Linked DNA regions of Pelodiscus sinensis. The protein of the gene in region 1 binds, or shares a complex with, the protein of each later gene. Links are inferred from orthologs where the notes say so. Each region holds a gene or a part of one and is shown in the gene's direction. Other genes may lie near its edges.

Region 1 (7,416 bases):
TTTCCGTTATAAGTATTTCCGGAAAAAGCGCATCTACATTGGCAGGATGCTTTTCCAAAAGGGCTTATTTTCTGGAAAATCGCGTCTAGACTGGCGCTTTTCTCCAGCAAAAACCCCGAGCCGGAAAAAAGCGGCAGCCATGTAAATGCAAATGCCGCGGGGGATATTTAAATCCCCCGCGGATTTGCAATTCCGAAGTGTCTCATTAGCATCCCTTTTCCGGAAAAGGATGCCAGTGTAGACACAGCCCCTGGGTAGTGTAGACATACCCCTTGAGAGTAAAGAAGCATCTCTGTATTGTCTGACATCACTGCAAGTTCTACTGACAAATGCACTTAAGTATTTTGCAACTACAGGGGAAATATCCAGATTACCTTCTGTTGCGGACTGAAGGGGATCAAAGTAAACTCATGAGTCTGTAGCAACACACTATTGCAAATAACATTTGTGCACAGAAGTTTGTTTTTATTTGTGAAGTGTCAAATGTTTCACTTAGTGCTCACCTAAAACCTCAAGCTGTCTGTGTCAACAAGCAGGCAAGGTTATGTACCTTTACCCCAAAAAATTCAACCAGCCATTAGTTTTGTTTACTTAAGTACCATGCTATTGCAACACTCTAAACAAGACACAGCTAAACACACAGTGATGTTGAGTAAAAAAGCTGCAGATTGTCAGACAAAATTATACATTTAAACTTGCCCTTTCTGTCACTTAATATAATTAGCAAAATTAAGAAAATGGTATTTGGTTGCAACTCCACTAGGCTGCATTTGAACAAAATTCCTCAAGGTTTCATTTTGTTTCTTGCACAAAATTTGTATGTGTAAACATCTGCCCTCTAGTGGAATAAAATTTGTTGAAACCTTTCAGAGAAATCATTCTCAAGTCTATGTTAGGCTATTCAGATCAAAAGTTGTAAAGTTTACAACACAGGTCATGTGCATCACGCCATGTATAATATGGTATCAGGAAAGTATTTGCTATGTCATCCCTCTTGTTTTCCCTGTCTGGAACAAGACTCAGTTGACAGATACACAGTTGAGCTTTATTGATCGTGTGGGAATTTACGTATTTGCACAACATTGTACAAAAAGTGGGCTCAGTATAAAGGCTGGGATGTGGCGGCAGAGGAGTTTGGTGAATTTTCCAAAGCTGTAGTCAGAAACCTAGATGGGATGTTCCTAGTGCATTGCATTATTCTGCTAGTTTTTCCTCCATTTATGCTTGTTCATTAGACTCCAGAATCTGCTCTTGACACTAGATTGTTTCTTTGGAAATCTTATGTAAGTGCCAAGCATTGTTTTTTTCAGAAATATTTAACATTAACTTGCAAAAAGAAATTGGGTTTTGCTCCCAATGATGTACAAAGTAAATGTTTTATTAATTTAAAAAATGGAAGAATACGAACAAGGAACTGGAGAGAGAACTAGAAATTCAGATATCCTCTACCCTGGAAGTCTCACGTGACTGCAGGCTAGTAAAATTTACCTCACTAAAGAGTGAAAGCTGAGCAACTGGGGATGGAAGTTTTAGATAGACACATTTTTGCTGTGGCCTAAGAATTCAGTTATGTCATGTTGGTCACCAATATCCTAGAACATGTGAATTTTGCCATTTATATGGACCATGTTGCCATCATTAGCTGGCTTTGATGTAGTTGTTTCAAAAAGGTGACTCATAGTATGTAATTTTGTCATCGTATTTTTTAACATCAGTGTGTCATGACTATACAATTGTATTGACAAAACCATATGCACACTGATTCTCTATTATTATGCCGACCGTATTTCTTGATTTCAAACATTCTGTCCCATTCTCCCCATAAACCATCGAAATGTCCCAGAATTTCAAATATTTTGGCAAATATTTTGGAAGGGCTGGGGAGAGAGCCTCGAGACTCCCCACTGGATCCGGCTTGTGGGGAAGAAGCACAGCTAGTAGCGGCTCCATGTGCTGCCACTTTCCCTCCCCTTCCCAGGGGAACAGGAACGCATCCCACTGCTCCGGAATCTGGCCCATAACAGCAGCGGGAGATGGGGCATGGTGTTAGTAGCCCCTCGTGCCCAGACCCCGCAACCCCAGCCCGCTTGCTGGTCGCTTTCCTGGAGACCCCACTCCCCTAGCCTGTGCAGACCCTGGGCCCCCAGGCTGCTCACTCTCCACCCACACCCTGGGCCCCCAGCCTGCTCACTCTCCACCCACACCCTGTGCCCCCAGCCTGCTCACTCTCCACCCACACCCTGGGCCCCCAGCCTGCTCACTCTCCTCCCACACCCTGGGCCCCCAGCCTGCTCACTCTCCTCCCACACCCTGGGCCCCCAGCCTGCTCACTCTCCTCCCACACCCTGGGCCCCCAGCCTGCTCACTCTCCTCCCACACCCTGGGCCCCCAGCCTGCTCACTCTCCACCCACACCCTGGGCCCCCAGCCTGCTCACTCTCCACCCACACCCTGTGCCCCCAGCCTGCTCACTCTCCACCCACACCCTGTGCCCCCAGCCTGCTCACTCTCCACCCCACACCCTGTGCCCCCAGCCTGCTCACTCTCCACCCCACACCCTGTGCCCCCAGCCTGCTCACTCTCCTCCCACACCCTGTGCCCCCAGCCTGCTCACTCTCCACCCCACACCCTGTGCCCCCAGCCTGCTCACTCTCCTCCCACACCCTGTGCCCCCAGCCTGCTCACTCTCCACCCACACCCTGGGCCCCCAGCCTGCTCACTCTCCACCCACACCCTGTGCCCCCAGCCTGCTCACTCTCCTCCCACACCCTGTGCCCCCAGCCTGCTCACTCTCCACCCCACACCCTGTGCCCCCAGCCTGCTCACTCTCCTCCCACACCCTGTGCCCCCAGCCTGCTCACTCTCCTCCCACACCCTGTGCCCCCAGCCTGCTCACTCTCCTCCCACACCCTGGGCCCCCAGCCTGCTCACTCTCCACCCACACCCTGGGCCCCCAGCCTGCTCACTCTCCTCCCACACCCTGGGCCCCCAGCCTGCTCACTCTCCACCCCACACCCTGTGCCCCCAGCCTGCTCACTCTCCACCCACACCCTGTGCCCCCAGCCTGCTCACTCTCCTCCCACACCCTGGGCCCCCAGCCTGCTCACTCTCCACCCCACACCCTGTGCCCCCAGCCTGCTCACTCTCCACCCACACCCTGTGCCCCCAGCCTGCTCACTCTCCTCCCACACCCTGGGCCCCCAGCCTGCTCACTCTCCACCCCACACCCTGGGCCCCCAGCCTGCTCACTCTCCACCCCACACCCTGGGCCCCCAGCCTGCTCACTCTCCACCCCACACCCTGGGCCCCCAGCCTGCTCACTCTCCTCCCACACCCTGGGCCCCCAGCCTGCTCACTCTCCACCCCACACCCTGGGCCCCCAGCCTGCTCACTCTCCACCCCACACCCTGGGCCCCCAGCCTGCTCACTCTCCTCCCACACCCTGGGCCCCCAGCCTGCTCACTCTCCTCCCACACCCTGGGCCCCCAGCCTGCTCACTCTCCTCCCACACCCTGGGCCCCCAGCCTGCTCACTCTCCACCCCACACCCTGTGCCCCCAGCCTGCTCACTCTCCTCCCACACCCTGGGCCCCCAGCCTGCTCACTCTCCACCCCACACCCTGGGCCCCCAGCCTGCTCACTCTCCTCCCACACCCTGGGCCCCCAGCCTGCTCACTCTCCACCCCACACCCTGGGCCCCCAGCCTGCTCACTCTCCTCCCACACCCTGGGCCCCCAGCCTGCTCACTCTCCACCCCACATCCTGTGCCCCCAGCCTGCTCACTCTCCACCCCACATCCTGTGCCCCCAGCCTGCTCACTCTCCACCCCACACCCTGGGCCCCCAGCCTGCTCACTCTCCACCCCACACCCTGTGCCCCCAGCCTGCTCACAAATCAGAAAAAAAAATCCTGTGTCAGATCACGTGTCCTGATTTTTGGTTTGGAAAGTAGGGTCACTCTGTGCCCTGGTCCTGCGCTCACAGGGGGCACCGCTTGGCTTTGTTAAGATGGGAGGTGGCTGCAGGTGAGCTCACAATTCACCTCTGCTCAGCCCCTCCAGCGCAGCCAGGCTGCACGCCCCGCCTCGTGCTACAGTGAATAGGAAGAGGCCACGTTCCAGTCAGAGGGGAGCAAACGCAGCTGAACAAGTCCCACCAGAGCCATCTACCCCCCCCCCCCCCCATCATCTCTTGGCCCCGCCCAGCGCTGCGTGACGCCACCGCGAAGCTGCGCTGCGGGCACTGGCCCGCCCAGGCTGCCGTCTCGCTCGGTGGGCGGGGCTGACGGAAGCCGGCCCGGGCAGAAGGGCCTGTGTGTAGCAGGCAGCGGCGGGGCCTGGCCCGTGTCTCTCCGCCCGCCCTCCCCGCATCCATGGCGGCGGCGATGATGGCGGAGCAGGAGGCCGCCAAGGGCGGCGGCGGGCGGAACCGGGGTGGGGTGCAGCGGGTGGAAGGGAAGCTCCGCGCCAGCGTGGAGAAGGGCGAATACTACGAGGCGCACCAGATGTACCGGACTCTCTTCTTCAGGTACAGCCCGGCCACCCTTCCCTCTGGCCCCTTCCAGAGCCTTCCGAGCGCGCACACTAGCCTGCTGCCTGCGCGCCCGGCCCGTGCGATTGGCCGCGCGGCTTGTCCGTCTCATGCGTTCGCCCGCTGATTGGACGAGAACGGGGAGGCGCTCGCCGTGCAGGGCAGCGTGAAGTGCGTAGGGGGGGAGGCGGCTTGCAGGGGAAGGGGGTAGAATTCTCTCTACGCGCCCCCCCCCCAGGTGTCCGGCCTTCCCCCCCCCTTCGAGAGCGCCGAGGGGAGCTGCAGAGGCAGAGCGAAGGGGGCGGGGCCGGGGGCTCTTGGCGGGGGGGGGGGTTAGTGAGGGGGGGGCCTCCCCAAAGACAGATGTTAATAGGGGGAGGCCGGCGTCTGTTGCCTTGGGACTCCCTGGCCAGCAGGTCTGGAGACTGGCCCCCCGTTTTGTCACCCACACGGGGCCGCGGCCACCCGCGGAGGCTGGGGGCTGGGAGCTGACGATCGGGGTCGCGCTCCACCCCAGAGCGAGTGGCCTGGGAGGGGAGGCAGCGGACGTAAGATCACGGTTTAAAGGTTAACAGGCCAGGGGCTGTTCCCCCCCCCCCCCCCCACCCACCCCGGCCAGGCTGCAGTGGACCCCCGCCTGCAGCATGGTGGCCCCGGCCGAGCTGGAGCAGCCGGTTAAGGGGTTACCCTGGTAAACATGCTAGGAAGGCTGCTTAGCAGGTGATCAGTTAACTCCGTACATCCCTTCTTGCCTAGCTCTTCACCACCAGTCAGATGTGGCATCATGGGGGCTGGATGCCTTGTGGAAGGGCCCCCTACTCCCATGGGGCCCTCAATTTCTCCCATGTTTGTATTCTACTGCTGTGTTAGACTGTCATCTTGCACTTCTAGAGAGCCCCATGCAGTCTCAACAGAAATTGGGCCCAAAAGCAGATGCCTCATTTTCTCATTCTTTTCTGGCTGTTTAGCGTTGCATATAGGCTTGCCTTGGAGCAAGCAGGATTGGAGAAGATTCCTTGCTTATTTTTTCTACCCTGTTCCCCACTGCACCTTCGTATGCCAATTTGCTCCAGCAACTTGGCATCCTAAGGCCAGTCCTATCGGAAGGGGGTCTCCACTCTTTCTTTAACCAATAGAAAGAGAGGTGATGTTGCACCTTTTCTATTAAGCAGCAGAGGGGTAGCCGTGTTAGTCTGAATCTGCAAAAGCGGCGAGGAGTCCTGTGGCACCTTATAGACTAACTGAAGTGTAGGAGCATAAGCTTTCCTGGGCAAAGACCCACTTCGTCAGATGCACCTGATGAAGTGAGTCTTTGCCCACGAAAGCTTATGCTCCTACACTTCAGTTAGTCTATAAGGTGCCACAGGACTCCTCGCCACTTTTCTATTAAGAAAATCATAAATGGATGTTACATTATCCCTCTTCCACCTTGTCAGTTTCTTCCATTCCTTTCAGGGATACTTAAAGTTAAAAGGATGAGGTTATATTTTCAGAAGGATTAAAGAATGTGAGTCCATGAGGAGTAGTTTCTTGTCAGATTTCAGAGAGGTAGTTGAATTAGTTTGTTTCAGTAAAAACAACAAAATCTGGTGACACCTTAAAGACTAACCAATTTATTAGGATATTGGAGCATATGCTTTTGTAAGCTATAACTCATTTCCTCAGATGCAGAAGAGAAAGACAGGAAAAAAGTTATTTCAAGGTTAACTATATTAAAACAAGCTGCTGAAGGACTTAATTGACATTTGTAAAGGACTTTGACATCCCCAGATAGAAGAATAGTAGGACAGAGTGTTTATTATTATTGTGATTGAATTAGTAGTTCTTCAATAAACCTCATGCTAGATAAAGAAGTTAGCATCTGGTAGTTACAGATATTCTTAGTAGCTGTAAACTTTTTTTGTGTCCTTTGCTCCAAAATGTTCTCCTTTTCAATCATATTATTGATATGTACAGTGTGCAGATTTAGTCAAATCTGCTTTTTAGGGCTGTCATAAAATTACAACTTGAATTTAAGAAACAAAAAAAAACTTTGATCAAATGTTTCATTAAAGTACACTCAAATCTTCCATTTGAAGAGTAAGAATTTAAAATGTGCCTTAAAATGCATCTGTAGTGAGAGAGTCTCTCTATACAGATCTGCTTTTAATCTCTAATCAGATGTAATTCTAGTTTGTGGGTGTCTGGATTCTTGTGACATTGATGGATTATCAAGCAGAACTTGATTTGAGGACTCTTTAAAATATATTGATATCTCACCATGTTTAGTGAACTTAGGAATTTTTTGGTTAAAGTGGACACCTCCACATTTTGTGTCTATTGGGATGCAAAAAGTTAATTGTGAGCATGACCCTAATGGGTGGTGCTTATTAGTTCCAGTTAACTGGTGGGTGCTGGAGCAGCTCCTGATCCTTTGGTCAGGCTGGAGCAGCCCCTCCTGCCCATTCTCATTAAACAGTTAACCTATTAAACAGGGTTTTACGTTCCAATTGCCTACTAATGAGTAACATAACAGGTCTGCTTTATGGTGCAGTACTTGTACTATATTACTACTTTAAGTACATGGCAGTTATAATATTGAATTGTCATCTACTGTGTAAAACTTTATTTTTAAACTCTTTTTTGCATTTAATATTAGTTTGTGAAGGAGTCTAGATACATCCCTACTGAGACGTAAGTGACTAGTCACTATCCAATAAGCAAAAGCTTATCAGATAGTCAACTAGTCCCACAACTAGTCGCTTCTTCCCCCATCTTGCTGCCTTTATCAGAGGGAGCAAGGAGGGAGGGGAACCAGGAGACAGTGCGGCCATCTCCATGGGAGACGGGGGAGCAACGGGGACCAGATGGGAGCCAGAAATCAGCTGATTCCCAGCTCGCACCCAGTCT
Region 2 (7,723 bases), on another chromosome or scaffold:
AATGTTTGTCCCCCAAAGAGGGCCTGAGAAATGGGGCCAAGTCAATCCTTTGCCTCTGTGTGAAACTAAATAAAGTGGGAGATGAAATTGTGTTGTTAAATGCAAAGTGAAAACACTCCATCAACTGACTGAGCCCCCTTGCAAGTGATACCAGCTAATATGGCCCCCTGACTCAATCTGCACAGTGAGGCTGCTGGTTTCCAGCCTTCATCAGAGACCTCTCTATGTGCAGCAGCAGGCAAAATGCAAACAATGTTGGGAATCAAAGAGATAGCTAGTACGACAGTGTCTCTCTGGCAATCCATGGTAGGCCTACATCTAAGATACTGTGTGCAGCTGGGGTCACCCTTGGAATTGTAAAAGTTTTTTAAAAAGCAACAGAAATGATCAGGGCTTGCCAAGCCGCGGCGAGCTCCGCTCGCTAGCTGCGCATGTGCAGACCGCTGTGCATGCACTGATTGTGCTGTGGCACCGTGCCAGGCTATAATCTGTTCGCCCATGGCGAGTAGATTACCTAAATTGTCAAACCCTGGAAATTATTAGGGTTTGGAGCAGCTTCTGTAGGAGAGATCAAAAAAGACTGGGACTTCTGCACGTGGAAAAGACGCAACTAAGGGGGAGGAGATATGCTAGAGGTCTATAAAATCATGACTGGTGTGGAGACAGTAAATATGGAATTGTTACATGCCTCTTCATAGCAGAAGAACTAGGTGTCACCAAATAATAGGTGGCAGGTTTAAAGCAAGAAGTTTTTCCATACACAACACACAATGAACATGTGTAACTCCTTGCCAAAAGATGTCGTGGAGGCCAAAACTAAGGCAGGGTTCAATAAAGAGCTAGACGAGTTCATGGAGGCAGGTCCATCAATGGCTGTTAGCCAGGGGAGTAGGAAGGGTCTCCCTAGCCTCTTTCAGAAGCCGGGGATGGGTCACTAGATGATTCTCTGTTCAGTTCATTTATTCTGGGACAGTGGTTCCAACTGTGCTCCTGGAGTCGCTAGCTAGAAGGCTGGTTTTCTAGCCCTTGGTCATTTGCAGGGCTCTTCTCTGAGCCTTCTGCCTTTGGACACCATCACTCTGTCCCCCGGCTGTGCTCGCTCACCTAAGCAAGAGCCTTGTAGAGTCTGGGGCTTGGTCCTCGTGGGGGCAGCCTGGGTGGGGCCAGTGTGTTGAGACGAGTCCAAAACTCCGGGATGCTCCGCCATTGATTCACCAGGCCTCTCCACTCTCAGGCTTTGATCCTCCTGCTCGTACTGCCTCCGGGGCCCTTGGTGGCTCCCCTGCTGGGGACCCTCCTGGACACAGGGCGATGCCTGGCGGGCCAAAGACCCCTCGCGCTGCACCCCCCCCCCCATGGGGCTGAGCCAGGAGACCAGCCTCCCCCCGGCCAGTGTAGTGGGAGAAAAGGCACATGGTGGGGGGGGGGGGGCTGAGCCCTGCCAATCACAGGGCGGGGGCCCCTGAGCCTGGCCAATCACAGGGCGGGGGCCCCTGAGCCCTGCCAATCTCAGGGCAGGGGGCCCCTGAGCCTGGCCAATACAGGGCGGGGGGGCCTCTGAGCCCTGCCAATCACAGGGCGGGGGCCCCTGAGCCTGGCCAATCACATGGCGGGGGCCCCTGAGCCCCGCCAGTCACAGGGCGGGGGCCCCTGAGCCTAGCCAATCACAGGGCGGGGGCCCCTGAGCCCTGCCAATCACAGGGCGGGGGCCCCTGAGCTCCGCCAATCACATGGCGGGGGCCCCTCAGCCCTGCCAATCACAGGGCGGGGGGCCCCTGAGCCTGGCCAATCACATGGCGGGGGCCCCTGAGCCCCGCCAATCACAGGGCGGGGGTCCCCTGAGCCTGGCCAATCACAGGGCGGGGGCCCCTGAGCCCCGCCAATCACAGGGCGGGGCTCGCTGCTATGGGGGCGTTAAGGAAGCGCCAGGAGCCGCTAATGAGCAGCCACGTGCCCCATCTTAACCAATCAGCGCCCCGGATTCTCTGAGCCCCGCCCTATCTGCCCTCCGTCCCCTAACTGCCCCACGCGCGCGCACACCGCAGGATTCCAGCCAGCCAGCGGACAGCGAGCCCCGCCCTCTCAGGTGCGCGCTCTTCCGGTCCCAGGCACCGCCCTCTAGGGGGCGCGCTTCGGCACTTCCGTGGTGGGCTAGACCTTAGTGAGGTCATGCCCGTGGGGCGGGACCACCCCTGTGACGTGAACGTGGGGCGGGGCCGAAGGAAGCCGGACGCAGCCGAGTCAAGACTGGTCCGCGGGTCGGTGTCAGGTGTGGGCCGGGGCGGGGGGGCTCTCTGGCTGCAGGGGGAGGGAGCATCCCCCGCCCCGTAAACTCCCCCCTCACCTCACAGCCCCGCCCCGCCTCACAACCCCTCCCTGCGTCCCATAACTCCACACCCCTGCCCCCTCCCCACCCCATAGCTCTGCACATTGCCCCCTGCCCCACAGCGTGGGTCCACACTCCCCCTCCCCCCAGTTCTCTGGTGGGGGGTGGCATCCAACCCTGCCACCTCCAGCCTGGGCTCCTCTTCTCACCTCTGCCCCTCCACTCCCACAGGCACCAGAGCATCCAGACCTGCACCTGCTGGCCGGGAACGTCCCGATGTGCCGGACCTGGAGGAGGCCAGATGCCCATGAGCCGTGAGTGCTCCGGCATGGCTCAAGCCCTGGCACTGCTGCTGCTGGGGCTGGGCCGCTGGACCTGGGCCAGCTGGGGGCAGCCAGCTGGCAGGTACCTGAGTGTGGGTGATGGCAGTGCCCTGGAGTTTGACTTCCCTGAGAGGAGCCGGGGTGTCATGGTCGTGTCCAGCCGGTACTTGGGCACCAATGGGACAGCAAGTGGTGCCCGGCTCAGTGCGGCCTCATTGGCACCTGCGGTGCTGACTGTGGAGAACGTGAGTGCTTTGTGCTGTGGAGCAGGCGGTTTCCTGGTGGCCATCCGCTCAGGCCCAGCTGGGCTGGCACCACTTCGGCTGCGCCTGCTGGACCAGCATCAGCTGGTGGAGGAGCGGGGCGAGTTCCGGGTGCGGGTGATGGCGAGTGAGGAGCCAGGGCACCCAGGCCTGGGCCACTTCTCAGAGAACCCGTTGCTTTATGCTCTGCTGCCCCTCATCTTTGTCAACAAGTGTGCCTTCGGCTGCAAGGTGGAGCTGGAGGCGCTGCGGGAGCTGGCGCGCCAGCCACAGCCCGTGCTCCTGGGCATTGTGGGCCAGTTTATTGCTATGCCACTCTATGGCTACCTCCTCTCGCTGGCCTTTGCCCTCCCCCCGGCGCTGGCACTGGGGCTGGTTGTCACCTGCTCCTCACCAGGTGGGGGTGGTGGCTACCTCTACAGCCTGCTGCTGGGTGGCAACGTGACCCTGGCGATTGCCATGACACTGCTGTCCACTGTGGCAGCCGCTGGGCTCATGCCGCTCTCCTCGGCCCTTTATGGGCGCCTGCTGAGTGCCCACCCCAGCCTGCACGTGCCCTTCGCCAAGATCGTGGGCACACTGCTCTTCATTGCGGTGCCCATATCGGCTGGGCTGCTGGTGAAGTGGAAGCTGCCCCGCGTGGCCCGCCTGCTGCTGCTGCTCATCAAACCCTTCAGTTTTGCCCTCATCCTGGGTGGACTCCTCCTGGCCTACCACATGGGAGCCGTCATCCTGGCTGAGGTGGAGCCCCCAGTGGTGCTGGCCGGGCTCACCGTGCCCCTCGTTGGCCTGGGGCTGGGTTACCTCTTGGCTGCCTGCCTGCGGTTGCCAGGCCCACACTGCCGCACAGTCAGCATTGAGGTGGGAGTGCAGAACAGCTTGCTGGCACTGGCTGTGCTGCAGTTATCTTTCCGCCGTCGCCAGGCTGACTATGCCTCCCAGGCCCCCTTCGTGGTGGCCCTGAGCAGCACGGCTGAGATGCTGGTGCTAGTGCTGGCCCATCTCCTCTACAAGAAGCTGCAGCCATCTGCCAGTCCCTGAGTGCCCCATCTGTGAGAAGGAATGGGTCCTGCTGGGGGCTGGGCAGCCCTAAGCACTGAGTGCCCCTCTACTGCAGGGCTGGGCTGCCCTAGGAGCTGAGCACCCTGCTGTTGGGGGGCAGAGACAGGCAGATTCAGGGACCTGCTGTACAAGGGGCTCACCCCAGGGGCCCCTCCCAGTGGGGGCAGTAGGAAACCAAAGTCTCATGTTGGGCCCCTGAACACCCAGCCTCATTTTATACTGTGTTTTCTGTGTGGCTGGCAATGGTCCTCAGGGAGGGGGCCACACAGGCTGTTAAGGGAGGGGAAGGGGCCAATAAAGGAGAAAGAGCAAGTTTGTGCATGGAGCTGTTATTGGTGGAGGCTCAACGCTGGTGCCATTCACAGCCAGCTTGGGGGCGGAGTCGGGGGCTGGGGGCGGGGCCAGTGGGAGGTCCCGGCTCTGGGGGCGCCTCTCTCTACTTGGCCGCTCTCCCCTCCCCCCGCAGAATAGACTCTATGGTGCTGGGGCCAGGCCAGAATAGTCGCGAGTGCGGCGGGGAGGGAATGTCCGCTCTATCCGCGCTGCGTTTGGATCTCTATGGTACAACAGGGACACTCTAGCCCTGCGCCCGCCGCGGCTCCAGTCTAGGCTACAGGAGCCAATGTTCGGGCCCGAGACTCTATGGTACGAGCCGCGGCGCACTATGGCCCCGGCCACTCTAGGCTCCAAGGCACTGACACTCTATGACACGTGACGCTCTACGCGCCTCTTCCGGCTCTATGGTTCCGTGGCGGTCGCTCTAAGCCCGCTTCCCTCCGGGCGTCTATGGTGCCGTTAAAGGGGCCGCTCCGGGCTGCGCGATGCTGCTCACGGTGAAGGCGCTTCAGGGCCGGGGATGCAGCCTCCAGGTGGGGGGGGCTGTCGGGGGGCGGGTTTGCGGGGGGGTGTCGGGGGGCGGGAGAGGAGGGTTTGCGGGGGGGGGGGTGTCAGGGATCGGGAGAGGAGAGTTTTGGGGAGGTGTGGGGGAGGCAGGAGAGGAGGGTTTGCGGGGGAGTGTCGGGGGCCGGAGGGGGAGGGTTTTAGGGGGGTGTCGGGGAGGCAGGAGAGGAGTGTTTGCGGGGGAGTGTCGGGGAGGCAGGAGAGGAGTGTTTGCGGGGGAGTGTCGGGGGCCGGAGGGGGAGGGTTTTAGGGGGGTGTCGGGGAGGCAGGAGAGGAGTGTTTGCGGGGGAGTGTCGGGGGCGGGAGGGGGAGGGTTTTAGGGGGGTGTCGGGGAGGCAGGAGAGGAGGGTTTGCAGGGGGGTGTCGGGGAGGCAGGAGAGGAGTGTTTGCGGGGGATTGTCGGGGGCCGGAGGGGGAGGGTTTTAGGGGGGTGTCGGGGAGGCAGGAGAGGAGTGTTTGCGGGGGAGTGTCGGGGGCCGGAGGGGGAGGGTTTTAGGGGGATGTCGGGGAGGCAGGAGAGGAGTGTTTGCGGGGGAGTATCGGGGGCCGGAGGGGGAGGGTTTTGGGGAGGTGTCGGGGAGGCAGGAGAGGAGGGTTTGCAGGGGGGTGTCGGGGAGGCAGGAGAGGAGGGTTTGCGGGGGAGTGTCGGGGGCCGGAGGGGGAGGGTTTTGGGGAGGTGTCGGGGGCAGGAGAGGAGGGTTTGCGGGGGAGTGTCGGGGGCCGGAGGGGGAGGGTTTTGGGGAGGTGTCGGGGGCAGGAGAGGAGGGTTTGCGGGGGAGTGTCGGGGGCCGGAGGGGGAGGGTTTTGGGGAGGTGTCGGGGAGGCAAGAGAGGAGGGTTTGCGGGGGAGTGTCGGGGAGGCAGGAGAGGAGGGTTTGCGGGGGAGTGTCGGGGGCCGGAGGGGGAGGGTTTTGGGGAGGTGTCGGGGGCTGGAGAGGAGGGTTTTGGGGAGGTGTCGGGGAGGCAGGAGAGGAGGGTTTGCAATGGAGTGTCTGGGAGGCAGGAGAGGAGTGTTTGCGGGGGAGTGTCGGGGAGGCAGGAGAGGAGTGTTTGCGGGGGAGTGTCGGGGGCCGGAGGGGGAGGGTTTGCAGGGGGTTGTCGGGGAGGCAGGAGAGGAGGGTTTGCGGGGGAGTGTCAGGGGCCGGAGGGGGAGGGTTTTAGGGGGGTGTCGGGGAGGCAGGAGAGGAGTGTTTGCGGGGGAGTGTCGGGGGCCGGAGGGGGAGGGTTTTAGGGGGGTGTCGGGGAGGCAGGAGAGGAGTGTTTGCGGGGGAGTGTCGGGGGCCGGAGGGGGAGGGTTTTAGGGGGGTGTCGGGGAGGCAGGAGAGGAGGGTTTGCAGGGGGGTGTCGGGGAGGCAGGAGAGGAGTGTTTGCGGGGGATTGTCGGGGGCCGGAGGGGGAGGGTTTTAGGGGGGTGTCGGGGAGGCAGGAGAGGAGTGTTTGCGGGGGAGTGTCGGGGGCCGGAGGGGGAGGGTTTTAGGGGGATGTCGGGGAGGCAGGAGAGGAGTGTTTGCGGGGGAGTATCGGGGGCCGGAGGGGGAGGGTTTTGGGGAGGTGTCGGGGAGGCAGGAGAGGAGGGTTTGCAGGGGGGTGTCGGGGAGGCAGGAGAGGAGGGTTTGCGGGGGAGTGTCGGGGGCCGGAGGGGGAGGGTTTTGGGGAGGTGTCGGGGGCAGGAGAGGAGGGTTTGCGGGGGAGTGTCGGGGGCCGGAGGGGGAGGGTTTTGGGGAGGTGTCGGGGGCAGGAGAGGAGGGTTTGCGGGGGAGTGTCGGGGGCCGGAGGGGGAGGGTTTTGGGGAGGTGTCGGGGAGGCAAGAGAGGAGTGTTTGCGGGGGAGTGTCGGGGAGGCAGGAGAGGAGTGTTTGCGGGGGATTGTCGGGGGCCGGAGGGGGAGGGTTTTGGGGAGGTGTCGGGGAGGCAGGAGAGGAGTGTTTGCGGGGGAGTGTCGGGGGCCGGAGGGGGAGGGTTTTGGGGAGGTGTCGGGGAGGCAGGAGAGGAGGGTTTGCGGGGGGGTGTCGGGGAGGCAGGAGAGGAGTGTTTGCGGGGGAGTGTCGGGGGCGGGAGGGGGAGGGTTTTGGGGAGGTGTCGGGGAGCCAGGAGAGGAGGGTTTGCAGGGGGGTGTCGGGGAGGCAGGAGAGGAGTGTTTGCGGGGGAGTGTCGGGGGCCGGAGGGGGAGGGTTTTAGGGGGGTGTCGGGGAGGCAGGAGAGGAGTGTTTGCGGGGGAGTGTCGGGGGCCGTAGGGGGAGGGTTTTAGGGGGGTGTCGGGGAGGCAGGAGAGGAGTGTTTGTGGGGGAGTGTCGGGGGCCGGAGGGGGAGGGTTTTAGGGGGGTGTCGGGGAGGCAGGAGAGGAGTGTTTGCGGGGGAGTGTCGGGGGCCGGAGGGGGAGGGTTTTGGGGAGGTGTCGGGGAGGCAGGAGAGGAGGGTTTGCGGGGGAGTGTCGGGGGCCGGAGGGGGAGGGTTTTGGGGAGGCGTCGGGGGCAGGAGAGGAGGGTTTGCGGGGGAGTGTCGGGGGCCGGAGGGGGAGGGTTTTGGAGAGGTGTCGGGGAGGCAAGAGAGGAGGGTTTGCGGGGGAGTGTCGGGGAGGCAGGAGAGGAGGGTTTGCGGGGGAGTGTCGGGGGCCGGAGGGGGAGGGTTTTGGGGAGGTGTCGGGGGCTGGAGAGGAGGGTTTTGGGGAGGTGTCGGGGGCCGGAGGGGGAGGGTTTTGGGGAGGTGTCGGGGGCAGGAGAGGAGGGTTTGCGGGGGAGTGTCGGGGGCCGGAGGGGGAGGGTTTTGGGGAGGTGTCGGGGAGGCAAGAGAGGAGGGTTTGCGGGGGAGTGTCGGGGGCCGGAGGGGGAGGGTTTTGGGGAGGTGTCGGGGG

The links.
Region 2: GET4 (region 1) and UBL4A share a complex: the UniProt entries of both Homo sapiens proteins name them as parts of the BAG6/BAT3 complex. The link is inferred for Pelodiscus sinensis from reciprocal best matches to the Homo sapiens genes GET4 and UBL4A.

What each region holds. Positions count from the first base shown.
Region 1 is NC_134726.1:26,321,153-26,328,568, forward strand, and holds the start of GET4 (Golgi to ER traffic protein 4 homolog), read left to right. Parts: upstream 1-4,250; 5' UTR 4,251-4,369; coding exon 4,370-4,524; intron 4,525-5,209; exon of another isoform or gene 5,210-5,224; coding exon of another isoform or gene 5,225-5,247; intron 5,248-7,416. UniProt on the Homo sapiens protein: As part of a cytosolic protein quality control complex, the BAG6/BAT3 complex, maintains misfolded and hydrophobic patches-containing proteins in a soluble state and participates in their proper delivery to the endoplasmic reticulum or alternatively can promote their sorting to the proteasome where they undergo degradation.
Region 2 is NW_027465910.1:144,030-151,752, reverse strand, and holds the start of UBL4A (ubiquitin-like protein 4A), read left to right. Parts: upstream 1-4,686; 5' UTR 4,687-4,795; coding exon 4,796-4,843; intron 4,844-7,723. Other genes in the region: SLC10A3 (P3 protein), read left to right, coding at 2,655-3,953. UniProt on the Homo sapiens protein: As part of a cytosolic protein quality control complex, the BAG6/BAT3 complex, maintains misfolded and hydrophobic patches-containing proteins in a soluble state and participates in their proper delivery to the endoplasmic reticulum or alternatively can promote their sorting to the proteasome where they undergo degradation.